Linked DNA regions of Caenorhabditis elegans. The protein of the gene in region 1 purifies or fractionates together with the protein of each later gene. This does not show direct contact. Each region holds a gene or a part of one and is shown on either strand. Other genes may lie near its edges.

Evidence for each region.
Region 2: the proteins of lsm-5 (region 1) and lsm-6 fractionate together in Caenorhabditis elegans (co-fractionation; one large-scale study listed by BioGRID). This does not show direct contact.
Region 3: the proteins of lsm-5 (region 1) and teg-4 fractionate together in Caenorhabditis elegans (co-fractionation; one large-scale study listed by BioGRID). This does not show direct contact.
Region 4: the proteins of lsm-5 (region 1) and gut-2 fractionate together in Caenorhabditis elegans (co-fractionation; one large-scale study listed by BioGRID). This does not show direct contact.

Annotation. Positions count from the first base shown.
Region 1 is NC_003283.11:15,566,556-15,573,757, forward strand, and holds lsm-5 (U6 snRNA-associated Sm-like protein LSm5), read left to right. Parts: upstream 1-3,824; coding exon 3,825-4,100; downstream 4,101-7,202. Other genes in the region: acs-2 (Medium-chain acyl-CoA ligase ACSF2, mitochondrial), read left to right, coding at 853-1,137, 1,187-1,438, 1,488-2,149, 2,194-2,569, 2,802-2,918, 2,966-3,130; fbxa-95 (F-box domain-containing protein), read left to right, coding at 4,934-5,031, 5,091-5,174, 5,224-5,809, 5,917-6,114; fbxa-94 (F-box domain-containing protein), read left to right, coding at 6,460-6,467, 6,523-6,606, 6,651-7,202.
Region 2 is NC_003279.8:1,699,509-1,707,217, forward strand, and holds lsm-6 (U6 snRNA-associated Sm-like protein LSm6), read left to right. Parts: upstream 1-1,852; 5' UTR 1,853-1,863; coding exon 1,864-1,976; intron 1,977-2,069; coding exon 2,070-2,190; 3' UTR 2,191-2,300; downstream 2,301-7,709. Other genes in the region: ubc-3 (UBC core domain-containing protein), read left to right, coding at 148-502, 1,170-1,279; Y71G12B.13 (RING-type domain-containing protein), read left to right, coding at 2,615-2,641, 3,064-3,180, 4,454-4,978, 6,153-6,247, 6,290-6,497.
Region 3 is NC_003279.8:6,810,316-6,820,223, reverse strand, and holds the start of teg-4 (Splicing factor 3B subunit 3), read right to left. Parts: upstream 5,714-9,908; 5' UTR 5,695-5,713; coding exon 5,608-5,694; intron 5,562-5,607; coding exon 5,493-5,561; intron 5,441-5,492; coding exon 5,282-5,440; intron 5,237-5,281; coding exon 4,979-5,236; intron 4,667-4,978; coding exon 4,412-4,666; intron 4,343-4,411; coding exon 4,101-4,342; intron 4,022-4,100; coding exon 3,859-4,021; intron 3,517-3,858; coding exon 3,348-3,516; intron 3,290-3,347; coding exon 3,138-3,289; intron 3,095-3,137; coding exon 2,939-3,094; intron 2,887-2,938; coding exon 2,608-2,886; intron 2,504-2,607; coding exon 2,381-2,503; intron 2,320-2,380; coding exon 1,990-2,319; intron 1,916-1,989; coding exon 1,707-1,915; intron 1,657-1,706; coding exon 1,458-1,656; intron 896-1,457; coding exon 785-895; intron 1-784. Other genes in the region: ulp-5 (Ubiquitin-like protease family profile domain-containing protein), read right to left, coding at 6,174-6,290, 6,336-6,441, 6,490-6,594, 6,638-6,829, 6,944-7,050, 7,117-7,210, 7,260-7,426, 7,475-7,522.
Region 4 is NC_003283.11:13,491,120-13,499,319, forward strand, and holds gut-2 (U6 snRNA-associated Sm-like protein LSm2), read left to right. Parts: upstream 1-6,621; 5' UTR 6,622-6,656; coding exon 6,657-6,659; intron 6,660-6,846; coding exon 6,847-6,914; intron 6,915-7,331; coding exon 7,332-7,463; intron 7,464-7,513; coding exon 7,514-7,604; 3' UTR 7,605-7,700; downstream 7,701-8,200. Other genes in the region: eea-1 (FYVE-type domain-containing protein), read right to left, coding at 246-467, 859-1,034, 1,083-1,356, 1,672-1,935, 1,983-2,210, 2,256-2,585, 3,606-4,493, 4,822-4,896 and 3 more; avr-15 (Ig-like domain-containing protein), read right to left, coding at 7,821-8,110, 8,166-8,200.

The DNA.
Region 1 (7,202 bases):
AAACACCATATCTTTCCTATCTTTCCCATTTATTTACACTCACTACAAAGCACACCCATTCTTTTCCATCGATTCCATCTTAACCTCTTCTACACCCATGTGACTTCATCTCCCCAGTGACCAACCAAATGGCGTTCTCTGCTCAGTTCGATCACACTCACATGGTGATCGTTCTCTGGTGGCGCCTCCACTTGTTTGTCGGCGGAGACACACCAACACACGTAAGGGAGGGGATGGGGGAAGCATTGAACGATGAGCGAGTGGGGCGGAGCTTTGATATGGTTTTGTGCATAATGAAAACTGGTATAAAAGCCGGCGAGGAGGATCCGGGAGACTTTCAACAGCCTTCAGATCTTCAGAAAAAGGAGGAGAAGGGATTGGGCAAAAATCTCGAGATTTCCAAGATTTTGAAGCTTTTGCAGTTATTTTCTTGTTTAGACAACCAAAATTAAGCCCTTTTTGCTCTGAAAATCACCTGCATCAGTTTGAGCATATAGTATTTGAATCGCTTTATCACTTTTTCACTTTTCTTCCCGTCTGTGTCCTCGTAACCAAACTATTCCAATTCTGTTTGAACAGGCCGCTTCCAGAGCACTATGATTTTCTGAATTTTATCAATCTTGTGAGATGTATCCGCGAGATTTTCAGCAACCTTAATATCTTCAGAATGCAGATTAAAATATATTCTCATTTATACTTTCTTCATCTAGTCATTGCATTCATGTAGGGCTTACTATCCGATTCTTAAATTCTTTGAACTTCTCCTCTGCAAACTATCCTTTTTCACCTTCTCTCTTCTTTCATAAAAAACCTCTCCAATAACCTCACATTATTCCAGATCCCATCACAAAAATGCGCTCAATCCTCGTATCCCGCCGTTTCGCCCACGTGCTCACAAGCACTCACGCAGCTCCATCCACCTCGAACATCCCAACCACAGATTCTCATCACCTGACCCATCCGTCGGTTCATCGTCAGCACACCAACAGCTACATCCACGGAACCTCGAATATTCCGCTCAGAAATGAGACTTTGGGACAGACACTGAGAAATACTACTGAAAGAGTTCCGGATAAGGAGTTCTGTGTTTTTTCCAAATACCCAATTAGAAAGACCTATGAGGAGTTCTACCATGACGTGAGTTCCCCTTTCCTAGGCTCTTTGACAAAAGGCTGTAAACTTTCAGGTCCGTCAAATGGCAGCCTCGCTCTACACTCTCGGTCTCGAGAAGGGAGATCGTGTCGGAGTCTGGGGACCAAACTACTACGAATGGGTGGTTCTCCAGTATGCATGTGCATTTGCAGGAGTCATTCAGGTCAATGTCAATCCTCACTACCTCCACGAAGAACTTCGTTTTGTGATGAGAAAAACTGGAATGAAGGTGCTCTTTGCACCAAAGAGACACAAGCACAGCAACTATGTTCACACAATGCTTGAGGTAAGTGTAGATCATAAATTGCACGTTCTAGTCTAAAAAACTCTTCCAGGCAATGCCAGAAATGCGACGTGGCCAGCCAGGAGTTGGACACATCAAATCCCATGACATCCCAGAGCTCCGCCACATTGTGCTCTACGGAGATGACGTCCCCGTCCACGGAGCCTGGGTCTACTCTGACTTAATCCATGCTGCTGGAAGTGCAGAACGCGCAAAGCTGGAAGACATGGATCGCAAACTTCGACCGGATGAGCCAGTAAACATGCAATTCACAAGTGGAACCACTGGTCATCCAAAAGGAGCAACTCTGACCCATTTCGGGCTGAACAACAACGCATATTTCGCAGGAATTCGCCTTGGATGGGATAGAGAGGATCACAGAATCTGTATCCCAAACCCTCTTTACCATTGCTTCGGATGTGCGGTCGGAGTGATCAACGCGGTCAATCATGGACAAACTGTGGTCTTCCCATCAAAGTCCTACCATGTTCCGGATATCTTCGAGGCTATTCAAAATGAGAAATGCACCACGATGTTCGGCACACCGACCATGTTTATTGACGTGCTCAAGTCTCCACTTATGAAGCAATTCGACATCTCATCCCTTCGAGGGGGTGTTATCGGAGGAGCCCCATGTCCGATGGCTTTGTGCGAGAAGATGGTGAAGGAGATGAGAATGACTGATTTTTCAGTGATCTATGGATCTACCGAGACGTAAGTTCTTCTTTGTCGAAATGCCATCTTACAGCTGAATTCAGATCCCCTCTAGTCACCATGTCGGAACTCCACGTGGATCCATTCGAGCGAATCAAGTCCGTCGGGTCAGTGATGCCACATCAAGAACTCGCCATTGTCGATGAATTTGGAGTCCCCGTGCCAACTGGAGCTAAAGGAGAGCTCTGGTCTCGTGGCTACTCGACTATGCTCGGCTACTGGGCCGACCACGACAAGACCAACTTGGCAATTACACGTGATCGCTGGTACAAATCTGGAGATACCGCCACGATGAACGAGGATGGAACTATCAATATTGTCGGTAGAACTCGTGACATGATTGTGAAGGGTGGTGAGAACGTCTATCCGACCGAAATCGAGCAGTTCTTGCATAAGTTGGACTATGTCGCTGATGCTCATGTAAGTTTGGGAGCTTCTATCTTTGCTCTTGGGGGTCCAATCAAAAAGTTTATTAAAATATCAAAAAGTTTATTAAAATAATCTACAGAAAATTCTCTACATTTACTCAGTTGGCAACTTTTTGATACTTGTAACAACTGGCGAGTTATTCTCGTTTAAATCAAGGGCACCATGACTACTTATGGCCTGAACTTCAAACTTATGGCCTAACTTTTCAACAAAAAAATTCCAGGTCGTCGGTGTGCCAGATGACAGGTACGGAGAGAACATCTGCGCCTGGGTGCGTCTTCGCGTTGAGGATGAAGGAAAGATCACCGCGGAGCACATTAAGAAGGCTTGTAAGAGAGGAGTAAGTTATTAATCCATTATTTTAAAATATACAGTCGAAATTTCCAGATGGCTCACTACAAGGTTCCAAAGTACGTGCTCATCAAAAAGGAGTCCGAATTCCCTCTCACAATTTCCGGAAAAGTCAAGAAATTCGAAATCCAAAAGATTTCCAAAGAGCTGTTGGGTCTCGGAACTGTCAAGTCTCACTTCACAGAAGCTGTCGACAATTAAAATCGGGTTGAACATATTTCCTATATTTTAAGTTGCCTTTTCGCTGGGATTTCCTTGCTTTTTACGGTCTAACCGCTATAATTGTAATAGTGACATATTTAACCGGGTTTTTATGTACTCTTCCGTGTATTTGCCATGTATTTAATTGTGAGACTTGTACAGAAATTGCGATTTTCTCTGAATAAATAGCTTTAAAATTCAAAATTCCCTCCAAAAGTGTACAACGACACTCCGAAATGACGCATAGTCGCCTTGCTTACCGTAAATCGACACACATTTTTTTAAAATCGAAAACATTTTTTTGTTGGATTTTCTTCGTTTTCCCTCGATTTTCTTGGAATTTTGTGAGTTTTTATTGTTAAAATATTTTAAAATTGCATTAATGGTATTGTTTTAACTGTATTTTTCATATGATTTTCGATTATTCCAGCAAAATTCTTGTAGAAACGACTTTTCATCAAAATTTTCTAAAATCGATTGGAAATTAACACGAATTTTACTGAAAATGAAATTTATGTGCAAATTACCGGTGAATTCAGCGAGAAAACATCAAAAATTCTGGAAAAATAGGCTTTGAAAAAATTTTTGTGAGGAAAAATTTTAAAAAAACTTGATAAATATCATCTTTTCCCCTCATTTTTCCTGTTTTTCAGCAATTCCTCTCAAATTTTACCCGATTTTCTTTCCAGAAACCATGGCAACCTCAACATCCACCAACCCAAACACACTTCTCCCACTGGAGCTCATTGACAAGTGCATCGGCTCGAAAATCTGGGTGATAATGAAGAACGACAAGGAGATCGTCGGCACTCTGACAGGCTTCGATGACTACGTGAACATGGTTCTGGAGGACGTCGTCGAATACGAGAACACCGCCGACGGCAAGCGAATGACCAAGTTGGACACGATTCTTCTCAACGGAAATCACATCACGATGCTCGTGCCGGGAGGAGAAGGACCAGAGATTTAATTGATATCTGTGAATATTGTGATTTTCTAATACTTTCTATTTTGCCACGAATCTCTCCGATTTTGAAATAAAAATTGAAGGAAATTTTGGAAAATTTTATAACAGGAACAAAACAGAATGAAGAAGCAAAAAGAAAACAATTTTTTTTAAATCTGTTTTTTCAGCATTTTTCTCTTTTTTTTCTTATCACTTAACAAGTACTTGTACATCTTGCAGGTCTTGTAGGATCATATTCAGCACGTGTTGAGAATAGATAGCAGCTTTCTGATGCTCTAAAAAGGCTTAATTGTTCAGATCGTCCCTGGAAATAATTTTTCGAATTCTGCTCGAGCTGAAAATACAAAAATAATCGCAGAATCGCCCAAAATACGTGAAAAAGTGAAAATACTTATCGTGTTTGATAGCAACCTTAATTTGTCCTGTTAAATGACAAAATTCTTAAGTTGAACTGTATTTATTTTAAGTTTTCTGCCAATTTTTTCCAAAAAATCAAAAAAGTTTCCCGATAGTACTGTATTTCCCAGAATACGTAAATGCGTATAATGTATCATAACTGACGCGCAACCAAATTTGTTTTTTTTTTCGAAATGTTTTTAAAGCGCCTTTCGCCGTTTTGGGATATAATTTATCATTAAACTTGTTATTTTGTTGAGGAAAAATCATTAATTAATTATTTATTGCCTGGTTTCTCGCAAATTTCAAAAAGTGGGCGTGTCCAGCCAATCAAACCTAAAATTTTTAAGCTGAGCAATAAAACAACGATGTGTTTTTTTACCGTTCCGCTGTTTTTTTCCGCAATTTCTCATTGAATTTTGTAATTTCAGAAGAAAGTAATGTCTCAAATAGCTCTCCGCGACTCTTATTCCCTATCCGTGACATCAAATGAAGCGACTGTCGTCGAAATCGTTGAAGATTTGGATTCGATGAAGCTGTAAGCGGAATAAAAGATGAAAATCAAGGATTCGAGCTCATTTTCTTTTTTTTTTATAGGTCGGGGAAGAAGCCACCATCATTTTCCGATATGCCACTCGCCGTTCTTCACAATATCTTGGATCACGTGAAGCCAATTGATCGGTAACTAGAACTGTATAAATTTTTCTATAAAAAATATGAATATTTCCAGGCTTATCGTTCGCAAAGTTTCCCGTCGCTTCCGTGACACCGTCGACGATCATGATCCTGGTTTCAAGGCAATGGTCGTTCTCACCGGTGCGCGCGAAGATGTCATCCTGAAATTCGACGACTTGTGCGTTTTTTATTGTCGAAATGGCGCCGGATGCTCCATCAAGTTCAATAAGCATGGAGCACTTCGCGAAAAAAAAATCAAGAACGGAAGCTATTTGAAGCTGGCTTCTGCCGACTTAAAAATGATTATCAATAATCCGAAACTTCGTCTGGAGTCTTTTGAGCTCGATTTTGTCAAGATTCCGTATACCGCCGACCAAAAAGCAAACATGGAAGTCGTTCAAATGTTGCTGAAGTCACCTAAAAAATTAGACGTCGAAAAGCTCAAAATCGTTGGATTCCATCAGGAACAAATCCCGATGGTTCTTCAATATTTTGAAAGAGATCACATTCAAGAGCTGAACTTCGGAGGTGCCGTTTGCCTCGGACATCCTGGAAGATATGCCGAGTTGAAACAATTGAGCCATATTCAGATCCAGAGCATGAAAAAGGTTGCGGAACAAGATGCGGCGCATATCCTTGAGGCAAGTTGTGTTGGGGACAAATTTTAAATTTTGAAAAAATATATCTATTAACTTCTTGAACTAAAAAACCAAAAAATACAAAAAAATCTTATTATACCGCTTTTCAGCTTCTCAAACGCTCTGCCACCATCAAATCGATCAACATCACGTCATGTTTCGGACAGGACTTCAGTGAGGCCGTCAAAATCCTTCAGCCGAATTTCGCCAGAAGACCTAGTGGCGGCACCGACTTCTCCATCAACGGCAAGGAATTCCATGTCGAGTTTAATGTTCAAAACATTAAAATCGAAAAGAAAGTTCGCTAATTTTCTGATTAAATTGTTATATTATAAATAAACCTGTTGAGTATTTAGTTATACATTTTGATTATTCAAGAAAGTTATCATTTATCTATCATTCCTTACCCCATGCCTGGCTTCTCGCAAATTTCAAAAAGTGGGCGTGTCCGGCCAATCACGAGTGTGATTTCTTAAGCTGAGCAATAAAACAACTATGTTTTTTTGGCGTTTCCCGTCTTGTTTGTGCGATTTCTTTGAATTTTTGAAATTTCAGAAGAAAGTAATGCCTCGAATAGCTCTCCGCGACTCTTATCCCGTATCCGTGTCGTCAAATGGACCGAATGTCGTTGAAATCGTTGAAAATTTGAATCGATGAAGCTGTTAGCGAAATAAAATATCAAATTCAAGAATTCGAGCTCATTTTCTTTTTTATAGGTCGGAGAAGACGCCACCTTCGCTTTTCAACATGCCACTCGCCGTCCTTCACAATATTTTGGACTACGTGAAGCCAACTGATCGGTAGAACTGAATAACATTTTCCTAGAAAAAATGAATGTTTTCAGGCTTGTTCTTCGCAAAGTTTCCCGCCGATTCCGTGACGCCGTCGACGACCGTGATCCCGGCTTTAAGAATGCGACCATTCTCATCAAAGAGCTCGGAGAAATCGTTCTGAAATTCGATGAATTGTGCATTTTCTACCGCCGAAGCAACGTCGGATGCACCTTGAAGGCCTATAACTTTTCGGAAAAGACAATCAAAAACGGACATTATTTGAAGCTGGCTTCTACCGACTTCAAGATGATTATCAATAATCCGAAACTTCATTTGGAATCTTTCGAAGTTGTTTTGGGCCCGGATTTCGAGGGAGTCGATCGAAAGAAAACTTCAGAGATCATCCGAATTATGTTGAAATCCGTGAAAAAAGTGGACGTTGGAAAGCTCACAATCACTGGATTCATCCATGAGGAGATCCCAATGATTCTTCAATACTTTGGAAGTGATAATATTCAAGATCTGAAGATCGACGATCACATTTGCTTCGACCATATTGGAAAAGTCGTCGAGTCGAATCACTGGAAGAAGGCAAAATCCATTCATTTCATCTGGAAAAGCTG
Region 2 (7,709 bases), on another chromosome or scaffold:
GTTAAGAACGTGCTGACGTCACATTTTTTGGGGCGAAAATTCCCGCATTTTTTGTAGATCAGAACGAAATGGAACATTCTGACATCACGTGGGACCCCGCGCGCGCGACATTAAAATCCAATAAATTATTCAAATTTAAATTTTCAGAACGGTGACCTCTGTATCAGCATCCTTCACTCGCCAATCGACGATCCACAAAGTGGAGAGCTCGCGTGTGAACGCTGGAACCCGACTCAAAGCGTCCGAACCATCCTTCTCTCGGTCATCTCACTGCTCAACGAGCCGAACACCTCGTCACCGGCCAACGTCGACGCGTCAGTGATGTACCGTAAATGGAAGGAGGATCAGGACCCGGAATACGCGAAAATCGTCACGAAGCAGGTGGAAGAGTCGAAGAAAGTCGCACAGAAAGATGGAATTCAAGTGCCCGAAACGATTGAGGAGTACTGTGTGAAATGGGCTCCACCACAACAGGATGATGTCTTTGACGACATTGATTATAGTAGGGTTTTCTCGAAATTTGAGCGATTTTGGCGTAAAATAGCGCTTTTTAACGGGAATTTTACAGTCACATTGGCCAGAAAATGATAAAAATCGACATTTTTGATGTCTAAAGTGAATTAAGACTAAAAATTTCATCTTCTACGCTAAAAATGTCTTATATTTTGCGTTTTTTGCACTAAAACTGGCTATTTTTGGTAAAATTCAAAAATTGTCAGTTTTTAGTCGAAATATCCGCAAAATTATACACTTTTTTCAAAAAAAATTGCCGATTTTTCAGGTAAATTGCCAGAAATCGCACGAATTCACGGATTTCTGGCTTCCCTTATAAATTGAAATGGAAGAGTTTTTGCCGAACTAGTCCAGGCCACCATATCTGGGGTAGATTTACGGCGCGTTGCGTGTCGCGCCGCGGCTCGATTTTAGTTGTAAAACTAAATGTATTTGTCCGTGTGGAGTACACGACTTTCCCACACGTTTTCCGGCGGGCGATTGTCAATGGAGCGCGAAAAATTCAATGAGGAAGGTCAGAACCCCGTGACCTCAAAAACCTCAAAAAAAAGTCTATTTTTCGCAAATTTAGTTGTAAAATTCCCGAGAAAATTGGATTTTTCAGTTAAAAACCCGGATTTTTGCCAAATTTTCAATTAAATATCGATTTTTTTCAGACGACGATTTCGGGTGTGACTATGACGACGATGAAGAGGAGGAGGACGAGGACGAATGCGGCTCGGACTATAATGATGATGACGAGGATTCGGGACAAGGAGAAAATTAGTCAATTTTTTTTAATTTTCTATAATTTTTTCCCCATTTTTTTTCTCAATTTTCTCAATTTTCCAACCTAGAAAAATTCAAATTCATATCAAATATACCACGAAATCTTGGCGCTTCTTTCAAACAAAAAATCTTCAAAATCCGACTCAACTAGTCCTTTTCTCAATGCATTTATATGTACACTTTTGCCCTTCCCAAGCAGCTATCAATTCATATTTGTGTTATACTCAATATTTTTTCGTCTGGAAACAGTTTTTTTTGTCCAATTACACACACACACAGGCTGATCACAGTGCACTTTCAACTATTTTTGTTTTCTATAAATGAAGCCTTCTTTTTTCTAAATTGTCTCGGAAAATTGCAGATTTAGAGTTGAATTCTCAAAAAATAAGTCGATTTAATCCGAAAAAAACATTTTTTTCGCAAGTCTGCATTTTTGCGTCACGGTGTTTGCGGACACTGTAGAAAATAATTTTTTTTGAAGCAAAATCGCAATTTTAACGCATTTTTCTCTTGATTTTAACATATTTTTACTCTAAAAACCCGTGAAAGTAATATTTTTTCTCAATTTCAGCACTCTAGAAAATGAGCAAACGACAGAATCCCGCCGAATTCCTGAAGAAAGTCATCGGAAAGCCGGTTGTGGTGAAGCTCAACTCTGGCGTCGACTACCGTGGCATTCTCGCATGTCTCGACGGGTTAGTGATTGGGAAAAATCAAAAAATCTGATTAAAAACACCTGAAAATTAATTTTTCTTCCAGAAAAATTACGAAAAAATCTAATTTTTCAGATATATGAACATCGCGCTCGAACAAACCGAAGAATACAGCAACGGACAACTTCAGAACAAGTACGGCGATGCGTTCATCCGCGGGAACAATGTGCTCTACATCTCCACATCGACGAAATAACTTTTTTTTGATTTCGATTTATTTTCCAAATATTTTTCCCTTTTTTGAGCTATTTTGAGCAAATTTCTTGTTTGATACGTTTGGATCTCGAATAAATTTGTGTTTTTTTTTTCGCCGAAAATCTGAGTTATTTCGCTCGAAAACAGGCTTTTTCAGCAAAAATCGAGAAATTTCTTGGGTTTCCTCACCGTTAGACGCGTCGCGGTCATGCGTCACGTGCGGTGGGTCTCACCACGATTCGATTTACGGGGAAGCATTTTCGAAAAAAAGAAGACATTTTTAAGTCAATTTATCGCGTTTTCATCGATTTTTCGAGCTTTTCCGGTGATTTTTTCGATTTTTCAACTCAAATTTCGAATTCTACGTATTTTTGTGCCACTTTCACTGCAACAATCGCAATTTTCAGACAATTTTCAAAAGGATAATGCCACCCGGACCACTTCCCGCCTTAGTAAGTTGATTTTTTTTTTGATTTAAAAACTGATTAACTTTTGCTCTCCGAGTGGTAAGTGATAATTTGTAATGATATGCGATCACACTAAGGCTAAACCGCCTTGCGATGATCTTTCCACCCGCACTGGAAAAGGAGAATTAGGCGGTTTTCTGCCGCCCGATATGTGATCGCACATTTCAAATGATACCATTCAAAAACTATACCTAATTTCATAGTGAAAAGACCAAAAGAAGATAAAGAAGAGCAAGAGAGAGAGAGACGTCGCACGAAATCCATCAGTCTTCTGTCCCCCCATCGATTTTCCGAAAATTGAAAAAAAAACAGTTAGTTTCAAAGTTTGAGCGTTTGTGTGCTCATTTTGTGCTCGTTTCTAGCCTTAAAATTTCGAATTTTCCATCAAAAAACTCATTTAATTTCAGATGAAAAGCGAATGGCTCAAGTGTCCGCGATGTAAGACGAAACAGCTCAAGCCAGAGCTCATCAGCACCGAACCCAATGGATCCGATAATATTTGGTGGATATGTGAGGCTGTTCAGGTAGAAATTCATGAAAAACTGAATTTATATTGGGAAACCAGGCAAAAATCGAGCTAAAAATCGAATTTCAGGTTGTTTTGGCTCGTATGAACGGAGAAAATCAGCTTTTCATAGCAATTTAACTGAAAATTATTGTTTTTTATATCAATTTTCGGTGAATTTCCGATGTTTTCGACGATTTCTCCCCTCAATCACTGGATTTTCACAAAATTAACTAAAAAATTCCGGTTTTATTGAATTTCAAGTTCAAAACTTGAAAATTCTGTGGGGAAATTGCTTTAAAACATGCCTATGGTACCACAATGACCAAATATCATAGTAAATTTTTTTTTTAATTTAGAACATTAAAAAAAATTTTACTATGATATTTGGTCATTGTGGTACCATAGGTATGTTTTAAAGCAATGTCTCCTCAGAATTTTCAAATTTTGAACTTGAAATTCAACAAAACGGACAATTTTTAGTTAATTTTGTGAAAATCGAGTAATTTTGAGGCGGAAAAATCGTCGAAATCATCGGAAGTTCACCGGAAATTGATTTTAAAAAACATTAATTTTCAGTAATATTTCATAATCACGCTCTCCTCAAAGCCGGAGAATTATTAGAGCGCGCTTGCTGCGCTTCGCATTTCTGCATCCGCGGTAATTTGACTTTCCACTGAAAAAAGCAGATATTTCAGATTTATCGAATTTTTAGCTTTTAAAATTTTTTAAATGCATCTTTCGAACAAACCTTTTGTTAAACAGTGAAAATCGAAAAATGACTAAAATGAAATTTTTCGTCCACTGGTTGTGAAATGGTTTGAATTTGAAGAAATCAATGGGATTTTTCTTATTTTCTAAATATTTTTCTATTAAAAATCGGTTTTAACCCATTTTTTTGACCCTAAAAGTCACAAATGTTTTAAAACCGATTTTAATAGAAAAATATTTAGAAAATAAGAAAAATCCCGTTAATTTTTTCAAATTCAAACCATTTCACAGCCAGTGGACGAAAAAAGTTCATTTTAGTCATTTTAAATTCGATTTTCACTGTTTAACAAAAGGTTTGTTCGAAAACTGGAGAAAAATTTTTTTTAAAGCTAGAAAATTCGATAAATCTGAAATATCTGCTTTTTCAGTGGAAAGTCAAAATACCGCGGATTCAGAAATGCGAAGCGCAGCAAGCGCGCTCTAATAATTATTCGGCTTTGAGGAGAGCGTGCATAATTACGACTTTTTTAAAAACTAAAACTGCCGATTTTAATCATTTTTTATTTATTTTTTATTTGCAGAAATGTCAATTCCCAATGGATATGCCTCCACACGTCTATCATGTCGTCCAAACTGCCTTCCAAAAGCGTCAAAAATGCATTCCCCTGCCACGCATTGAGAAGCTTCCCGAGAAATATCAATATCTGTATCCCCTGACGTTCGCCAACTCTCGACCGGTCTCCCGTTGCTCATCAGTGGCTGGAAATTCTGAAAATTCTGAAAATCGAGCCGCCAGAAACTCGTTGGACGGGACGACGACGACGACGACTACGATTTCTGAGAAATCCAGTGGTCAGAATAGGCTAAAAGCTGAAAGTCTTCATTCCGAAACTGTTAATAATACAAATACCCCTTCAACGTCTTGCTCGGCAGAAGCTGAGCTTGAAAATCAGAGTATTGATGATGTGGAAATTGAAGAAGAAGAGGCCGTCAGGCCGTGTAGGACTATTAAGCGACGGCTTAATGATTCTGGAAAATCGTGGGCTTCGTTGATAGAAAAAGTTGCGGCCGACTCGAAAGCGTCGAATACTATTATAAATATGGAGGTGAAAATTTGGAACTTTTGAGCTGAAAAAAATTTGAGTTTTCCCGAATTTTTAAGCGGAAATTTGAATTTTCCTGGATTTTTAAACGGAAATTTGATTATTTCCGAATTTTTTAGCGAAAATTTGAATTTTCCCGACTTTTTAGTTGAAATTTAAACTTTCCCAAAGTTTTAAACGGAAATTTGAATTTTCCCGAACTTTTTAACGAAAATTTGAATTTTCCCGAATTTTTAAATCTAAATTTGATTTTTCTCGAATTTTTAAAAGGAAATCTGAATTTTCCCGAATTTTTAAGCGAAAAATTGAATTTTTCCGATTTTTAAGCGAAAATTTAAATTTTCCGAAATTTTTAATCGATAATTTGAATTTTCCCGAATTTTTTAGTGAAAACTTGAATTTTCCTGGATTTTTCATCGATAATTTGAATTTTCTCGAAGTTTTCAACGGAAATCTGAATTTTCCCGAACTTTTTAACGAAAATTTGAATTTACCCGAGTTTTTAAGCGAAAAGTTGAGTTTTTTTCGAATTTTTAAGCGGAAATTTGAATTTTCTCGAAGTTTTCAACGGAAATTTGAATTTTCTCGAAATGTTTACCAAAAGACTGAATTTTCCCGAATTTTTTAGTGAAAATTTGAATTTTCCTGGATTTTTAGTTGAAAATTCGAATTTTCTCGAAGTTTTCAACGGAAATCTGCGTTTTCCCGATTTTTTAGCAAAAATTTGACTTTTCCCGAACTTTTTAAAGAAAATTTGAATTTTCCCGAATTTTTTAGTGAAAATTTGAGTTTTTCCGAGTTTTTTTAGCAAAAATTTGAAATTTCCCGAATTTTTTAGTGAAAATTTCAGTTTTGCCGAATTTTGGAATGAAAATTTGAATTTCTTCAAAGTTTCCCGTATTTTTGAGCGAAAATTTGAATTTTCCCGATTTTTTTACTGGAAATTTGAATTTTCCCGAATTTTTAGTGAAAATTACACTTTTCCTGGATTTTTAATCGATAATTCGAATTTTCTCGAATTTTTAAACGGAAATTTCGATAATCAAAAAATTGGAAGAAAAAAAAATCGCGATTTTCTGGGTTTTCTGGGTGAAATCCTTCGAATTTTTGCTCAATACTGCGAAAAAAACGCAAAAATTTTCATTAACATCTCCCAAAAATCGATTTTTTTTTTCAGGAATCCGAATTATTCCGTCGTATGCAGGAGTTTTTCGATGCTCACTACTTCCAGCGTACTCCGATGACCTATAAGCGTTCAAGAGCGGCTTTACGGTTGGAAATGCTCAACAAATGGCAAAAAATCGATAATTTTAGACTTCCCTATCGGATAGAAGACATTGAAAATTGTCTACAATCAATAACTCGTGAAGATTGGAAAACTGCCCGACGTCGAATGATTAATTTCACTGTAGAAGAGAAAATGGTGGCGAGAAGTGGAAATGCGGATGAGTTGCTGAAAAGTGTTGGAATTGATTTGCAACAAATTAAGAAAGCTGTCGGAGAGAAAGTTGGCAATGTTATGGTACGGATTGAAGAAGAGGAAAAATGACGAAAATCATGGAAATTTTTGAAAAATTTGGCCGAAAAAACGAAGAAAAACCTAGAAATTTGATTATCCTGCGAAGATTTTGCAAAATTTTAAAAAATTTGGCATAAAAAAACAAAAAAATTCGATAAAAACCCAAAAATTTGATTTTCCTGCGACGATTTTGCAAAACTTTACACAAATTAGCCAAAATTCAAAAATTCGCAGAATCTACATGAAAAAATAATTTTTTTTCTCGAAAAAATTGCTTTAAAACGCGCCTATGGGGTCATAATGACCGAATAGCATGGTAAAACAAATGCAAAAAAATTTTCTAAATTTTTTATGATATTTGAAAATTGAAAAAATCACAGTTTTCCCCCTAATTCCGATTCGAATTTCCGCTAATTGAATTTGTTCGATGGAGTGTGCTTGCATTATTTTCATTAATTTTTTAAAAATTTATTTTCATTATTTCACTGATTTTCTTCATTTTTTGGGCGTTTTTAATCGGAAAATGAAAGAAACATACGGGAAAAATGCAAAATGTTTATTAAAAAGTAACTGAAAATGCCTAAAACTCTGAAATTATACGATCCGACGATGACGAGCCTGAAATAAGTATTATTCACAGTTTTAGGCATTTTCAGTTACTTTTTAATAAACATTTTGCATTTTTCCTGTATGTTTCTTTCATTTTCCGATTAAAAACACCCAAAAAATGAAGAAAATCAGTGAAATAATGAAAATAAATTTTAAAAAATTAATGAAAACAATGCAAGCGCGCTCCAACGAACGAGTTCAATTGGCGGAAATTCAAATAGGAATTAGGGGGAAAACTGAGATTTTTTCAATTTTCAAAAATCATATAAAATTTAGAAAAAAAAATTTTTTTTGAATTTTTTTATTATGATATATTCGGTTATTGTGGTATCATAAGCATGCTTTAAAGCAATTTCAAAAAAATCAAATTTTAAATTTAATTTCCGAAATTTATGGGTTTCTGTTTTCAGACATTTTTCTCGAAATTCGCTGAAAAATACAAAAAATGCCGATTTTTCCTAAAATTACGCAGTTTTCGATTTTTTTTACAAAATTGCCAATTTTCCTACAAAATATTTGAATTTTTCCGATCTTTTAGTCAAAAAAAGTCGAATTTTCCAATTTTTTTTTCCACAAAAATTTGATTTTTTCCGATTTTTTACACAG
Region 3 (9,908 bases), on another chromosome or scaffold:
TAAATTTAACACTCCAAAAAAGAGCAAAAATTGAGATATTTCGTGCGGAATTAATGTCTGCTGTTTACTGAAACCCATATAACTCGGAAGTGATGGTGATTCACGCAACAACAAAAAAATCACATTTTCCTAGCTTGAATCGTCGGAGCGAATACTAAAAGTAGCTGGCACACATACTTGAGACAAAAGGTTAATACAGAGCACACTTGAGGCGGAGCAGTTAGAGGGTGGGAAATTATTTTCGATAAAAAAATAATTTTGAGATGAACCAAAAAGGGTATTTCTTCGTTATTAAATGTTTCGAAAACAATGGAAAATCAAATGAAATCCTCACTTTTCACTATCCAATGTTCTACCACAATACTCGGAGAACTCTAGCCATTTATAAAATTGAGTCCCTCTCAGAATTTATCTGAAAACTTCTTACAAGTTAACTTTGCAGGCATTGTAGTGAATCCCTTTTGTAGTTTTTTATTGAAACATTATTTTTTAATCTCCGTGAACGAACTGAACTTTAGCCGAAAGAAGAATAACAAGAATGATCTTTAAAAACTGATAATCCATGGTTTCCTTTTCTTCGATTTTTCTCGATACTTCCTTCTAGTTTTTCACTTTTTTGTTGAATCCTTCCGACCTCATCTGTGTCTGTATGTCATTCCTTTCTCTGACTAATCAAATTCAAATTCTGCACACATGCTGCCTTCCGGCCCTTCCTATTGTCAATTTTCACACATTTTAAATGAACATTCCTGGGGGTTTATTTGAAAAAAAGAAAGAAACTGACCTTGTTTTCGCACTTTGCCAATAACTTTTTCTGTCCAATGTCGTACATTCGGAGGAATCGACCAAAACCGACGAGTGCCATGCCACGGAAATCATGAATTGCTCCCACTGGCTGAAATTTAATTTTTTTAAAAGATAAATTATGCATAAAAATCTCAATTTTGAATACAAATTTAGAAGATAAAATTAAAATAACTGAGTCATCCCCAGAAGAAAAAGTTACCAAAAAGATACGGTACCCGGTCTCGACACGATTTTTTCGAAAACAAAAAAGGAAAAACTGAAAAAATTAGAAAAACTTATTTTTTTAGTTTGAAGCGTTATTTTGAAAACATAATTTTAATTTTAAAACTAATTTTGATTTAAAAAAAATAATTACGAGTGTGATTTTTGGGAAAACTTAAGCATTTAAACATTTTTAATTTTTCAGTTAATCAAAATTTCATTTTTTTCGAAAAAAAAATGTTTTTTCATCAACACACGAAACATCTACATTTCTTTGAAATTTTGAAATTACAGTACACATTTTTGATGCGGAATCCGATTTTTCATAGTTTAAAATTTTTCGCGTCGAGAACGGTTATCGTATATTTGAAGCAATCAGTGCAAAACTTCTCCCCTGGGTAATATACTCATTCATTTTTAAATGAAAATTAAATAGCTATAAAGCTTACCAATGGTGTTTCCGTTCTGTGCAAAAAGTCGAATCGATCACCATTTGCTGATAGATGGAATGTATAAACACATCCTCTAGTTGGCCGAATGGATGTATCATTTGGATCAATGTCATGTACATTAAGAACTTCATTAACTCCACAACCAACCAGCACCATAGCTTCATTCGGATGCTTCGAGAATTGCACAAGAGCCACGCTGAAACAAATTCAATTAAAATTTTATTTTTCTGAATGAAAAAATCAAACCATTTTGCATTCTCATCTTGTGGGAGCTCAAAATATGAGAGTTTATCCCCAGAAGTCGCAGAAATTAAACTGATAGCAGATGCCCATTTTCCTCGAGCTGCTCGTGGTGCTCCGTACACTCGCTCATCGAGTCGTCGTTCACGAAGATTTGTAGCAATTTCTTGTGCAAGTTGAGCTTCTGTCTCGTCTGATGCCATTGCTTCAACGTCCTAAAAAATAAGCTTTAGTTTTCATTTTTGCTGATAATAAAAAACTGCGAACTGATTTCTTGTGAGCCACTTACCGCAGCCATTTGATTTCTCTTAATATTTTTGGTAACTTCTGTATAAGACGCATGATCAGTTTCAATCACAATTAGACATGGCATTGATGGATGAACAGCAACACGACGTGGTGTCATCTTATGTTCAAATGATTGAACATTAAATGCCACTCCAAGCTTCTCGGCTGCAATAATTCTGAGTGTACTGGCAGAAATGGCGACAATTCCTTCTGAGCACTGATTTGAGCAGAAGCTTGCCGCGTATTCCAAATTCGCATAGCTGAGTGGTGTCAAATGAAAGCGGCGTTGGAAGTGATAGAGAAGCCATGAACGGGAAGATGTACAGAGAATCTGAAATTTACAAAAAATGAAAATAAATACTTTTCTGAACTTTAAAAATAATGAAATTTACCGCAGATCGTCCCTGACATTGTACTTTGAAAAGTTTTACAGGTCTGGTACCAAGATATCGTGTTCTGGTATCCATAATAGCTCCAGTGACATTATCGACAGTATTACGGAAGAGGCATCCATTCTGAAAACGTAGTCGATTGCGATTTTGAAAATATTGTTTGTTTAGTAGACCTTTATTAATTATTCAAGAATCAAAAACTCATAAATTAGTAATAGAATACAAACCTGCAAACCAATATTCAAATGAACAGCTGCAACTCCTTTTCCATCTTCATTCGGTGTATCAATAAGAAGAATAGATTCTGGTGGACATGGAAGACTTTGAGTACTCAATGGCATAAGCATATCATTTGGATCGAGAGAAATTATTCTAACAGCGTTATCAACTGTTCCGAGTGCCAAAAAACGAGAATTGAGTTCTCCTTCTGAAATCTCACTGAACGTCATGCATGCAATATCTGCGTTGAATAGTTTTCGTTCCGTGAACTCGTTCAATGTTCCATTCTGCAAAAAATGATCATTAATTTGAATTAAGTTATTTTCTGTAAAATTCTACCAAATCTAATTCGAAATACACAAGTTCTCCTCCTGTCAATGCAACTGCAACTTGTCGTCGATTAACAGCACACTTGACAATTTGTCGCCGTGGTGGTGCCTTCCATTCATTGATACGCTTATCTGCCCGAATATGACGAATACCTTCCGAGTAGATCTGAAAAAAAAGATAATTAAAACAGAAAACTTTTCGAATATACCTGAACAAGAGAATCATCACCAATCATTGCACATCCAATAGTTGGTGTAGTTGGAAGAAATCCTGAATCTGATGCTTCTTCGACAGTATCTCCAATTGTTAGTGCAAGTGTGGCATTGACAAAGGAAACAACAATATATGAGTCATATTGGTCTGAAATTTTAAATTTTAAGAAATTGGTCAGATTTTTAATTTTTATTCTAAATGAAACCTTCGATATTCTTCTTCACAGTCCACACAGCATTCGGATTTCCAGGCAAATCAGAAACTGCCATTTCAGAAATTTCAAGTCCATTTCGAAGAACTTTCAAAGAAGATCGAGCACCACGTCCAACGAGTGAGTAAATCTGTGCTGCATCTTCTCGAGCAATATCTCCAATCTGTAAATTCATTTCGTTTTAGCTTTGATATTCAACAATCATTTTTTTCCGATTTTTCAGCTTTTAAAGAATTTTGACTTTTTCATTTTTTAAACTTAAAAATGGGTTTGAAACATGATGCTGGTGCTAAAATGAAAAAAAAAAAATTAATGTAAGTGTTTTTTTTTCGAATACTTTCATATTAGAAATTAAAGAGGAACAAAATTGAATTCCTATCGGAGTAAAATGTGTCCGTATTCCAGTTTCTACAAAAAAAAAGTTGGCAAAATTTCAGATTTTAGCAAAATTTGGATCGTTTTTTTTTTGAAATCTTAACCCGCCATTAAAACTCGTAAAACATACGACAGCATCTGTAAGAGGGCTCAAACTATCCATTGAATCAATTGGAATCAAAGATTTGAGCTCATGTGGCTCAAAGAATGCCGCATCGTTTTCTCCGAATCCCATTGCTGATGAAAATTCGTCATCATCTCCTTCACCCAGACTAGCGATTTGGTAGAGCTCACTGAAATAAATTTAATTGTAAAACGTTTGATTACTAAAATATACAATAGATTTCAATAAAATTAAAAAAAAAAACTAACTGATTTCCGAACTCTGCAGCCACGAACAAGAATCCGGATTTCAGAATACATAAAGCGTTCGCAGGCGGTACAGTATCAAAATATTTGAGTTTCATCTCCGACACAAGATCCTCATCAGTTTCCAGTGTTACTTTGAAAATATCTCCATTTTCAGCTTGAACAAGGAAAAAGTACATATTTTTCGTTTTATGAGTAGCCGTCGCAATGATGAGCATTGTTCGGTCTGCGTCATCGAGCTCGTTCTGTAAAAAATTATTGAATTCAAAATAATTTGGGGAGAAATTCAGAAAGAAAAAGAAAAGAAATCTCACTCTTCTTCTTGGAATCGGACATCTAATATCTGGTTGATCACCAAGATTCTTGTACACCAAATAGTTTTCACAGCACACGATGACACCAGACGGACCGTCATTACCACCTGGAACTGCGATAAGCAAGTTTCCTGGATCATTTAGAGGTTCCGCATACTTTCGAACAACATGATTTAATCCCAAATCAAGCTCGTAGAAGGTTAACGTTTGTTGTGTTCGTTTTGCTGCTTCTCCGGTTGGATCGTTGTCAGCATCCTGGAAAATTAGAGCTGATTATTGGATTTCACATAATTAAAAATTAACAAAACTCTCAAATTCTAATTATCTTTTTTCTCAAATCAATCTGACATTACAATGAACCTTTCACTGAGATAATGTCTATTGCTGGCATGAGCTGGCAAACTGGACGCCCGATTTTTTTCATCGAACGTCCGGTTTGCTATCCTAATCTACGAGATAACCTTTTTGAACAAAATCTTCACAACGAAAGTTGCCTTCTTCGACAATTATATAGAAACGAAAAATTGTAGTGGTCTTCAAAATAAATATTCTGTCTTGTTTCATTACCTCATAATCAAATTCCAGACACGCAAAAGTAGGATTCTCAAATCCCACATCGATTCCAACCATTGCATAACACAATGTGTGATGCTTGTGAGCTTCAAGTGGCGATGAAATTGTTAAATGTGCTTCAGAGTCTCGATTCATAATATAAACAAGCTTTTGACGTTCAACGGCTCCAATCATTAATGCACGTCCACGTGGGTCTCCAACCAAGAAATGGCCTGGAACGATTCGACGGCATCCAGTTTTTCCGAAAGTTTCCTAAAGAAAATAGTGAAAATATATGCTTTCCACGCGGAAGGTTACCTGATGCAGCCGCTCGAAACATGTTTTTTCAGCGTTATATTGTAAAATCACAATTCTACCCGAGTCTGAACCAACTGCGATGAAATCTCGAGTTCCAGCTGTCAAACGGAAAGCGAGAAGCGATCGAACTATTCCGAAAATGTCCTGGTGGCACATAACCTTAAAAATCAATTCTCGTTTATCAAAATCTGTAAGTTTATCAATTTCTTACTTTTATTTTGCCTGTAACTGTATCCAGTGTGAGCAACTCCAGTGCTGATCCGCGCCCAACAACGATTTCCTGGAAGAAACACATTTTCAATCATATAATTCTCTAACTTTTATACCTGCGCCTTGGGGGTTCCAGAGAAATTGCCCTGAATGGCCTGATTGATGGCCGATTGCCCTTGTAGTGTCAAATTGTACAAGTGCATTGTGGAACACGGCTGAAACACATATATTCATGGAACAAAAATTGAGATGTTGCAAATATTGAAGAGACATAAGTTCACAAGACTGGAATTATACGAAAACCATGTATTTCAACCTTTCCCGTCGTAAAAAGTGTAGAAAAATTAGATCTAAAAATAATATTCGAAAGCAGAGCCGTTTGAAAAGTGGGCGTGGCTTGAACCGCAATGTGCGGCGCGCGTTTTCGCAGATACATGGCACGGTTTCTACCAGGGGATGTTGTATTTAATTAAATACAACGAATAAAGGCAACAAAATTTTCATTTTACAGCAAAAATTTGAAAAAAAAAGAAGTTTGGCATGCAATTAGTTTTCAGAAATCAGAAAAAAGAACAAAAACAGAAATTTCATGATTCGATATTAAGTTCCCGAATCATATTTGAACAAAAACAACACAAGGAAGGAAGGAAAGAGTGAAAAATTACAGTGTTATTAGAAAAAATCAAGCTTTCAGTGATTGAAATAGCTCATCAAGACGTTGTCGTGGCGTTTCACTATTCAACAACGACTTGATATCGTCGTCCATCTTCAAATCAGCGAGAGCATCTGTCGGCAGGCTCTGTAAAAAATAAACATTTTTCTGAAAACAATTGGTATTGTGTACCTGCCACGCAGTATTGTATTTTGTAAAATACTCTGCGAATGCCATCATAAAGATACCACAATCCACTGAATTTTTTTGTTGCGGAAGCTTCTGACACACAACTTTTCTGAAATTATTATTAGGTATATGATGGATATCAAGAAATACAATTAACCGGAATCTCGTGCAAAACATATCAACATCAGTTGCAGCTGCGGACATCAGGAGCCAAAGACGAATGTGATCAAAAGTGGAATCATGGGTCTTATCAATAACTTCTCTGAATTTTATTTTATGCATAGCAGTTTAAAATATTTGCTTACCTGTATTTTTTTGAATGAACCAGGCTATCCATGATAATAATTCGACATTCACCGGCATTTTCATCACAATTAACATGACCGGTTATCCGTCTTGACAATCGTCTACTCTTCACTTTATTGGTCGCGTCAAGTATATTGACGTCGGAAATTCGACGAACCGCGCCTGATGGATTATGCACAATCACGAGGAACCTGCAAACTCTTTGAAACTCTAAAAATAAACAATTAGATGGAACTTGAAGTAAATTTAGAACTTTTAAATATCGAATAGTTTTCTCAGATTTGTAAAGGTTAAAAATATTTTACCAATGTTTCGGTTTGTCGAGATGAACTGGGATTAGCAGAATATCTTTTTTGAGAAACGTTTCGGCATCATTTTTGCTGCGGAAGAATCTGTTATAGTGGTTGGCGAGCTGAAATGTCATATCATTTGATGAAATCGCCATTGAAGTTTTTCAATCTTTGAAATATCTACAAACCTCTGATCTCCGTGGCGGATTCTCCTTAAAATCTTTAAAACAAGTCTTTATTTTCGGTAAGAAGAATGAATGAAAGACGTGACTACTGGCTCTTCTGTAATTATGAAAACATTAATTTCATAAAAATGTTTTTCATATCTTACGTAGCCTCATCGAACACTTCCAAACGCATCCAATCACACATATAAAATTCAATGATTGTGTCGTTGAGTAAAGTTCGATCTTCATTTCGTCCCACCCAGCCATTATGAAATAATGGAGGAATGATATGTCTGCGATCTTTGAATCTAATCTCCAAATGTGCAAGTCTCTGAGAATTATACAAATCTGAATTTTAAGGATAATTTTGTGTTCTCACCTTTTCGGGGGGTGCTTCGCATTTTGGAGTGAGCTTAGGATGAGGCATTGAGAAAATGTTCCACTATTCGACAGCAGGTTAAACCTGAAAATACTTTAAAATACGAATACGAAAACTTTTTATCCAAAAACACGAAAAAGGAAACAGCTAAAATTTTGCAAGATTGAAACGTTTCTGGGAAATTTATGATATTTTAAACATAATTCCGAATAATATCTTGAAATAAAAGGTGCAAAGTTCTAAAATTTATGAACTATTCAGTGAAATAGCGACAAGTTAACAAAAATTTCGCTTTTATCTGCAAAAAAACTCGCAAAAAAACAACAAAAAAAATTTGTCAAAAGACAAAAACTTCAGCTTTGCGGTGGAACGCAGTGAAGAGATGGTACGGTACCATCCGTCAGCGCGTGTCATTCGTGTCGAGACTCCATGTTCTTTTGGCGGTATTTCAAATGTGGTTTTACGATGTTTCCTTGTGTAGAGTTGTTCCCGCTAATTGAATGTAACAATAATTCATCAATCTCTCTTTTATTTGACTTCTAAAAATGTTCAGGTTTATTAAAAATTCGGGAACGGATGAATCTATAAACAACCCCTCTTCACGACAAAACCTTACCGACAAAGAATAAAGGTCATATTTTCCCTTTCCCTCATTCTGCAAAAAAAATAAAAGTTTATCCTTCTCTCGAGTATCCAATCAAATATATAATGCCATATCCGACACATTAATACTCTTTTCCTTTAAACAATTGTATTTTATGCTTCAAGCTAAGTTTTATTGATATTAACATTATGATTAGAATGCTGGTTTCCGATTCACTGAAAATGAAAACGGAAATTGAGATTTTACGCGCTCACAGCCAACAAAAATTACTTTTTTCTATTATATGTATTAGAATATTACTTTTTTTAAAATACCACTCATGAGCATGCATGCGATATTTGCGACAATCAGTTACTGTAGTTTTTTTTTTCATTAAATTTTCGAACTGGTCTCGACGAATCATATGCTGTTTTTATGGGATGGAATGGCACTGTATGTTTAAAATATATATTCACCCAAGTCTATCATTTATCTACCACAAAGTTGTGTTCCCTAAATAAATATAAAAAGATTCAAGCGTGAATAACAAGAATATTTTGGATGTTCGCCAGAAATTGTAGATTCCAAAATTTCCGATTATGAAAGAAAATCGTCAAGAAGATTACATGTTTTCCGTTTTGAAAAAGGAATATGAAAACACCTGTAAATACGAATTAAATAAGATTTTGGCTTCTAAATTCACCTTTTTCAAGTCGGAGCATATATTTCAATCTATACAATAAACGGGCAATTAAATAAGACAATTAAAATTTCAAAAAACTCAAAAGGTTGCTGTAACGCTGAAAAACACCATTATTTTGGCAAAACTTATGGCAAACAACACCTGCTCACTGGAAATATTCGACCTCCATTATAGACTTTTCCAAAAATTAATAATTTCAGAATGTACATACGTACGTCAATAATATGAGTTAAAAACAAATGTCAAATAATTGTATAAACCATTGCAGACAGTTACCGAAAATCTAAAAGTTCTCGGAGTTCATGATATCTATGTATTATGCCAATTTGATTTATTATGAATGGATTTACTGAATCCGCCCCCCCCCCCCCCGCTGGTGCAGATTTCGGAAAAATTACGTTATACAGGCTCCTGGTTTGTTTGACAAAAAATAATTTTCGACACAAAATTGCAATCTTAAAGAGTTCTAATTTACTGTGGACTGGGAACTGTTTCAGTGGTTATTTTTATAACTTTGTGTTAAAATATTGATGCCTTTTTTTTTTCGTTAAACAAGAAAATATGAGCCGTGTCTGAAGTTTTTCCCTGCAATTTTTGCAAACTATAGTATACTGTAACGAGCTGTACTTTGTGCTTGATTCGACAAAAAATTGTTTTGGATCCTACTGAACGTTGTGTGTCTTAATATCCCTTTGGGAACTTTAAAGCTGTACAACCTAATTTATTTCGTCCATTTTTTGTGTCCAGCAGTGTCCGTCGTCCCTCTATCTCTTTATTCCAATTTCAGTCAACTACTCATCCGATCCATCTCTTTTGGAGCATGAAACAATTAAGGCTTCTCCTTCTCCATCCCTGTTCTTTAATTCTCTACGTCTCTTCTCTTCTTAGTCTATTCTTCAATATTGTCTCGTTTCTCTAATCCTCTAATCTTTTGGCTCTAGAAGGCGTCGTGTAGAGCACACATGCGCAAAAAGCCAAGAGCACTCAACGATATTGAAAAGAAGGCGTGGCCAATGTGTCTGCTGTCTCCATACTCTATCATTTCAGACGCCGTCGAAAAAAAACTGAGCTGGTCAGAAGCAGCAAAGGGAAGGGCGACTACTTCTCCGTTTTCAATACGCTAAACGTGTCTTCTCAATTCGGATCTT
Region 4 (8,200 bases), 2.1 Mb from region 1:
ATGTATCACACAATGAACTAGGATCGGGATTGGTAAAACTGAAACTCGTGAGTGTCTTTTTGATTGGGGGCGGTCTCGTGAAATGGCACATAACTCTGTATATACGGGCAGGGATTGGGAGATGGATTCAATATGATTAATAAATATAAGTGTACTTGTATATAAATTAGGGCATTTGATAATTTACAAACATAGATCATAATCAGATCATTGAATTTAAATTTTAAAATTATAAATTAATAAAATCATTTCTGGGAATCAGTGAAGCACGTGTTGCAGGCTCGGACTGGATTCTTGGCACTCGCAATTCGGACTGATTTTGAACTGCATGGATTGCAATAAATCTTTCCACAAACTCGGCAATGATGCTTTCGAACTGTCAGAGAAAACACCTTTCCACATTCGGTACAATTAATTGCTTCTGCATCGTCAAGCCATTTCCGAGAACTGTAACGGTCGGCATCAATCTGTAATTTTTTAGAATTGAACAGGATTCTACTCCTTCATGAATACTGTCAATGGCGAGTTATTTTATTAGGTTTGAAAAAAGGAAGATGATTTTGGCGATTTTCAACTCTTTCTAATCTCCTCGTTTGAATTACCGCACTTTTTCCTCTAATCTCCACCCATAAAAACGGGTCGAACTTTAGCTTTTTTCCATTTTTACGAAAATGATTCTTTTTTGTGTTGTTTTTATATTTTTAATGAAAAAAGAGGTCCTAAATATTCAAAATTATTCTTCAAACATTTTGAAAATCGTATCGAATCCGACAAAATTTAATCGTTCGCGGAACTTTACAAGAAAATGTTTTTTTTTTTAATATTTTCGAAAGGCAAAAATTATATGCTAAAAATTACCTGCAGTGACTGATTGGCTCTTCCAAGTTCATGCATGGCTGAAAGAGCATCATCAAATCTTCTCTTATTCTCTTGTGATCTCTCTTTCTCGTATTCAATGTCACTTTCACTGCCAAGACACCGCTCGATTAGCATATCTTTCTCTGCTTGCCACATTGTTTCAGCTTTTTTCAATTCTAAAAAATTTCAAAATGTTATTTATCACTTGAAATATTTAAACTTGCCATCAAATTCTTCTTTCAATTTCTGCAACTCATCAAGTTTCTCTTGTTCGATATTTCTGACTGCAGCCAAATCAGCTTCAAGAGATTCAACGACTCGTTCTCTTTGAGTCAATCTGCTCTCTAATTCTTCGATTCTTGAATGATTCACCTTTTCAAGGCTATCAATTCTTTCCATGAGCCGTTCAATTTCTTCAGTTTTATCATTTATTTCTTTCGAAAGTGTCTGTTGAACGTCGGCGAACATGGCTTCAAATTGTGTTTTGCTGGATGTCATCTGGAATTTATATTTAATGGTGGACAAGAGTCATTTTGACATTTTGATAGAAAATGAATGAACTGCAATGACCTTATGAACAATTTCTAAATGTTTTTTCAAATGATTTTTCAACTTTGCAAAAACAAAAAAGGTTTTCTTTTGTTTTTGAAAAATTGAAAAAAAATTAAGTTTTAGAATTTTTTTATTTAACATTTATAATTGGATGTTTTAATCGAATTTTTTAATAAAAAAAAACGATTTAAAAAAGCGTGCAAGTTTCTTAAGAATTCGTTTCCTATTTTTTAGTTATGTACAAAAAAAATCTAAACGAACCCTTGCAATCGTAGTTTCCTTCTCTTGAATCTCCTTCTGCAACTTTTCCAATTCTTCTTGTTTCTGGCTCTGTGTTCCAGTGAAAACGACAAGCTTCTCAGTTTCTTCTGCTTTTTCTGCTTCTAATCGTTCGATCGTTCTCTTTCCACTGGCCATTTCTTTCTCAAACTCTTCAATTCTAGAATTGAAAGATTCGATGTGCGAGATTTTTGAAACTAGCTCATCTTCCACGACACGTTGCGTAGTTTTCAGAGACTCAATTTCCTGCAAAATAATAATTTTAAAAAAAATCAATTTCTGAACTATCTTACGTTATCTTTGGTTTCTAATGCTTCTTGAATCGACTGAATTGTGGATTCCCTTTCTTCAATATCTTTTTCAAGTCTTGACTTTTCCGTAATCATTCTCTCCAAATTTTCAGATCCTTTTTCTTCGGCATGCCTACGACTTTCTTCAATGGATTGAATTTTGCTATTGAGATTTTCACATTCTGTTCGAAGAGACTCTGATGTTGCAGTCAATTCATCACGCTCTTGAGTCTAAAAAACATTTGTTTAACTGATTCAAATTGAGGATTATCTTACAGTAGCTGTGACAGCTGATTTCAATTTTTCTATTTCTTGTGTCTTTTCTTCTTCTGAACGAATAAGCCGTTCGACTTCTGTTTTCAATTCCTCAAGCTGAGATTTGACCGAGATGAGCTGATTTTTTTCTTCGCCAGATGTCTCTTTTTCTTTCATCAACTGTTCTTGAACTGATTTCAATGTTGAAGAAGCTTCTTCATTGTCTTCTTGATTTCTAAGCATCTGAGCCTCGAATTCGTCTCGTTTCGTTTTCCAATGAGCCTCCTTATCACGCATCTCCGCCATTAGATTCTCGACTTCTTGTTGTTTTTCGGAAATCTCGTTGCTCACCTGAATTACATACTAAAAAGGCCGACACACTATGGATTGTAAAGCTCAAATAGGTAAACAGGGTTAGCGAAAGCTCGTCAAATTGGTAGTTAAAAAATAATAACGGACAAGACGGGACGTTATCTAGGGCGATAGAAAAGGAGTTGTGATTGATATTTGGATAGGATCACACTTGGGGAACGTGCTTGCTTTGGACCATTTTTTCCAAAAACTTTTTTTTGCAATTTTCCGCTTGTTATTACCGTTTTTCGATTTTTTGACAAAAACGAAACATCGAAAATTTTCGTTTTTTTTTCAATTTTTCGACTTCCAATTCTCCGATATTTAGAAAAAATTTTTCGGTTTTTTTTTTAAAGTTAGCTTTAAATTTTGGTCATTGTTCTTTTTTTTGAAGAAAATTTATGTTTTTTCTCGTCAAAATAAACAAAATAAGATTTAAAAGATCATATTTTTTAGTTAATTTTCGGAATGTTTTTTTTTTCGGAAAATCTTAACTTTTTTGTATTTCGATTTTTAAAAGGGATCTTTGGTACAATTATTTTTAAAAACTTTTTTTCAATTTTCCGGATGATATTACTCGTTCGCGAGCTTTTGTGTCAAACTTGCGGTATCCCGATCTCGACACGAAAATTTTTTGTTAAAGTAGTTTCAAACTTTTGTTGCTACGTAATTTTCATTGAGTTTTCATATTTTTTCTCACAATTTGCTACATTTTTTGTTAAGTTTTTTTTTTGTTATACTTGCGGTTTTTTCAAAACAAGTAGATTTTTTATCGAAAAATTATGAAAACAGTAAAAATTTCGCAACAACAAATGTTTGAAAATACGGTACTCTTAACAAAATTTGTCGTTTTCACAGTCTCCTCCATCAAATATTTTGAGATATTTTTGGTTCAAAAATTGCGTCTAAGTAATATTCAAATTCTAATATTCAATTTAATTTGAAAAGCTGTAGGTGCTGTTAGAAGACATAACCAGAATTACACTGACATTTCAAAAGGAATCCAAAACGCAAGCTAACCTTCTCTACCTGCACTTTGAGTTCTTCTATGAACGAATTCGATTCTGTCAATTTTCCCTTTAGCTCGGAGAGCTCTGATTCTTTAGTTGAAACAGTTGTATCTCGACTCGAAACTGAAGCTTCCAATTCTCTTGCTCGTTTTTCGGCTTCTTCAAGCTTCTGAACTGCGTCTTCAATTCGTTTCTTGTTCTCTTCCAAATGTGCGTCTTTCTCCCGAACAATCTTTTCGCGATCTTCACTCTCTTTTTTAATTGTTTCTAAATTCTTTTCCGAATTCACAAGAGCATCCTTCAACTTTAATGTTCTGTCAGTTGCCTTTTGTCGTTCCTCTTCCATTTCTTTTTCCATTTCAACAAATCTTTCTCCTTTCCTTTTAATTTCATCTTCAGCTTCAGCAAGTTTCCTTTCGAATGATTCTTTTTCTTGTTTCCATTTTTGTTCTTTGTCAGTCCTTGATGCTTCAGCATCTCTCAGCTTTTTCTCCAATTCTGAAATTTTGGCTTCAAGTTCTCCGGAAGCTTTCTTAGTTTTTTCAGACGATGTTTGGAGTTCATTCGTTAATTTCACTTTTTCCTGTTCAAGTTGCTCGATTGCCATCTTGGCTCCACCTTCTCCGGCTGAGATTTTCTCCATTAAATCTTTCGAGTTTTCTTGAAGTTTGTTGAGTTGGAGAGTAAGATTCTCGACAAGATCAGCGTGTTCTTTCAACTCGTTTTTGTACTTTGTTGCTTTTTTCTCACTTTCTGCCAACTTTTCTTTCAAATCATTGATGGACGAGTCTCGTTCCGAAATTTCTTTGTTCTTTTCTTCCAGAAGACTTCGTTCCTTATCGAGAAGAGATCCCATTGAGGCGAGCTCGTTAGTGAGGTCAAGATTTGCCATTTCAAGCTGAAAAATCATCTAAATTCAGCTGGAGTTTTTCCTATTTTTTCTTTGGGTTTCTTTTAAAGAGTACAATTTTCATTCACTAGAAATGCTACTCAGATATGAAATTTACAATTTTTGAGCAAAAAATACGGTATTCAGTCTCGCCACGATCAAATTTTCGAAAATACTGTAATGCCAAACTCTCGTTACTACTCCCGTTTCAAAAAAAAACACACTTCCGCAGTAGCGAGTTTAAAATTACAGTACTCTTTAAAGGCGCACATCCTTTTCCATTTAACAAAAAAGTCGTGTCGAGACCGGGATATAGAATTTTACATAACTTTCTCACCGTTTTTAGTCTTTCCCCTTGCACTGTTACTTTTTCCTCGAAAACCGCCTCAATTCGTTTCCTCTCCGCTGTATTCTGCAAACATTGTTTATAAAACCGGCAAATTGAAATTGAGTTTCAGGTTACAGCTTTGCCTAATACGATAAAATAAACAAAGAAATTAACTAACCCGCTCGAATTTTGAATTCAGGCTTATCATTTGTTCTTCATTAGATCCATTGATATTAGATAACATTTGAAGAGCATCTTGTGATTCTTGTACTTTATCTTCGAGCCTTTTAACGTTTTGCTTGTTTTCACTTAATTCGAACACGTTCTCTTCGATTCTGGCTTCTAATTGAACAACCCGTTCATTTCGTTGTTTCAATTCTTCGGATTGAGCATCATACGATATTTGCAACTGCTTCACAGTTTCTTCTCCTTCGCCAATTTTCTTTTCCAAGTTCTCATTTACGATGTGCTGTTTTTCACGTTCCATGCTTAAATTACGAATCGAATTTAGGTGTTCCTTGATTTCGATATCTTTCTCCTGAGAAATAGCATCCATTAGTTTTTGAGCATTAACTAGCTCAGTACGCAAAACATTCACATCATCTTCAGAAGGCCTCTGATCGAGCATCTTTTCAAGCCGAGAAACTTCGATTTCGTACCGAACAACATCTGATTTCACAACTTTCAGCTCTCTTTTCAGATCCTCCATTTCAACTTTGCCCGATTCAGATTCATCCGTAATTTCGCGCATTGTGACGCTCATCTGTTTCAATTTGGCCATCAAATCTCCACGTTCTTGTTTAACTTGTTGCAATTCTCGGGACTGCTGGCCGCTCTCTTTCTCAAGTTCCAGAAATTGCCGAGTAACCATTCCTTTGTCGGCTGTGAGAACTTGAATCTGCTGTGCCATGTATGGAATCTCATCTTCTGTGACTTCTGAAGCTATTGCCATTACCGATTTAATATTATCAAGTTCTTCTTTTATCCGTTCAGCAAAACGTTTCTCTTCGTTAACTCTTATTCGAAGCTCTTCAATTTCTTGATCTTTTGTAGCAAAGGCGAGTGGAGCTTGCTGAGGTGGAGTGTAATCGGGATGATTTCTGTTGGCTGATGTCTGAAACTATCAAAAAATTCTATTGAATCAGAGATTAATCAACTTACGTCAGAATGTTCTTTTTCAAAATGAACAGTAAGTTCATCAGGACCACCGAGCTCTACCATACACATTGGGCACAAGAACCCTTCGATCTCCTGATCATTTTCTGATTTTTGTGATTGCGACTGTGAACCTTGACTTGAAATACTTGGTCGACTGTTGTTTAGTCGGCCGTCAATCTAAATAAATTATCAAAATGGAAAAAACTAATTTTTTTACAAAACGGAAAACTTACATCATTCGCGACTTGCGAAACTTGTTCTTTCAACCTTCGAAGCATGTGTTCTGGAAAACAACAGTTCATCGATGCGATAATTCGAATGTAACGAACGGAGATTTAAATGTGATACACGAAATAGATTACAACAAATTGAGATATATCATCAGATCGATATAAACGAAGAGGGAAGGCGAAAAGCATTGATTTGACAACAAAACCGGCGCATTTTCTTCTCTTTCTGTCTCGAAAGATGATTCAAACATAGCGCAAAACAAACTGGCAAGTGGAATTCTCTGTTGGTCACTCAAATAAATAACCGGATTCCCTCTGATTTCTTTTCGTCTCTTCTCTCTCGTCTGGCAACGATGCTCCGTTTTGACGCAGTGCGCCTTGTTTATAATTAGTTTTGAATATTATTTTTTCATTAATTTTCTGAATCTTTGCAATTCTTCGACGATTTAACATAAAATGGTTAGTTTTCCTTTTAATTTTGTGATATAAATTGAAAAAGTACATACTCAAATTATTAAATGTGTTATAAAACTGTTGGTTGTCTCGGATATGAGGCTGTTCCGCTTAAATGTAATTTAAATTAATGGTTTAGGTATGTAGAAAGTCCCGAATTTTTGTTGTAACTCACGAAATATTACTATTTCAGCTGTTCTTCTCATTCTTCAAATCACTCGTAGGAAAGGACGTTGTCGTGGAGCTCAAAAATGATTTGAGGTGCGGTTTGTTAAATCAGTATATACAATTTACAGAAAATCGAGAAAATAACTGGAACCCATGTAAAACTTCAATTTCAAGACATTTCTTAAAAATTGGTTCACAAAAAATGCTTAAAACTTCTTGGGTTCAATATTCTGAATGTCTAGAAAGAATTCGAAACTCCCCGAAAATATGTATTAGCCAGACGGAAATCATTTTCAACGATACACTTCCACATAATGAAAATTCCGAATTTCTCGAAATCTCTTTAAACGCAAGTGCCATTCCTGGGTTTGAATTTAAATTATGAAATTCCATTTAAGATTAGTTCTGCTAATTTTTATAAGTTTTGAAGTTTAAATCTCACAAAATTAATATTTAAAAAATAATTATCTTATTCTAATCTCTCAAATGCAAATTCTAATAATTTTTCAGTATCTGCGGAACTCTGCACTCGGTCGATCAGTATCTCAACATGAAGTTGACCGATATCACCGTCTCCGATCCAGAACGATTTCCACATATGGTCTCTGTCAAAAACTGCTTCATCCGCGGATCCGTCGTCAGGTACAATTAGTTATCATTTTTCATAAATATTTCAAAATGATTCTTTAAAGGTACGTGCAACTCCCATCCGATCAAGTCGACACACAACTCTTGGCTGACTCCTGCCGGAAGGAGCTTCTCGATTCAAAGGCAAAACAGTAAATCCACGTGTTCATTCCTCAAAGTTCATCTCATTTTTTGTCAAGTTTGATATCATCTCATTTAAAAAAATATTTATTTTTATAAAAAATTCGTAACAAACAGGTTTTATTCACAGTTTCAAATGGTGTTTATTGCAGGCGTGTTCATTTTGTTTTCTCCATTGAGGGCACCGGTATGATAGTAGAAAGTATTTGATTGCTAAATAATTCCAGAATATTACGTACTGATGGCCACACCGTATTGTCCATAATGAGTCCAATAGGAGATGTTAAACGTGAGAAATAGTACAGGGAACATGACTCGAGATATAAGATCTGCTCTTTTCGACTTGTCATTCCATTCAGTCTTTGTTTTGATCCATTTCCAGACGCTATTTGTTTGACGGCGATTCATTCGAACTGTCATTACTTCTCGTTCTTGTTCAGCAACTTCTCGTGGTACCCACACATCGTTATGTGAATTTTGAAGGAATGGAAGTTCAGCTTTCTCTCTTTCAGTTCGAGCCCCTGAAAATTAGCAAAAAAAACGTAGGAAAAATTCTGAAAAAAAATCCCAACTGACTCTTATTAGCATCTTGCTTGTTTGCAATATAAGTC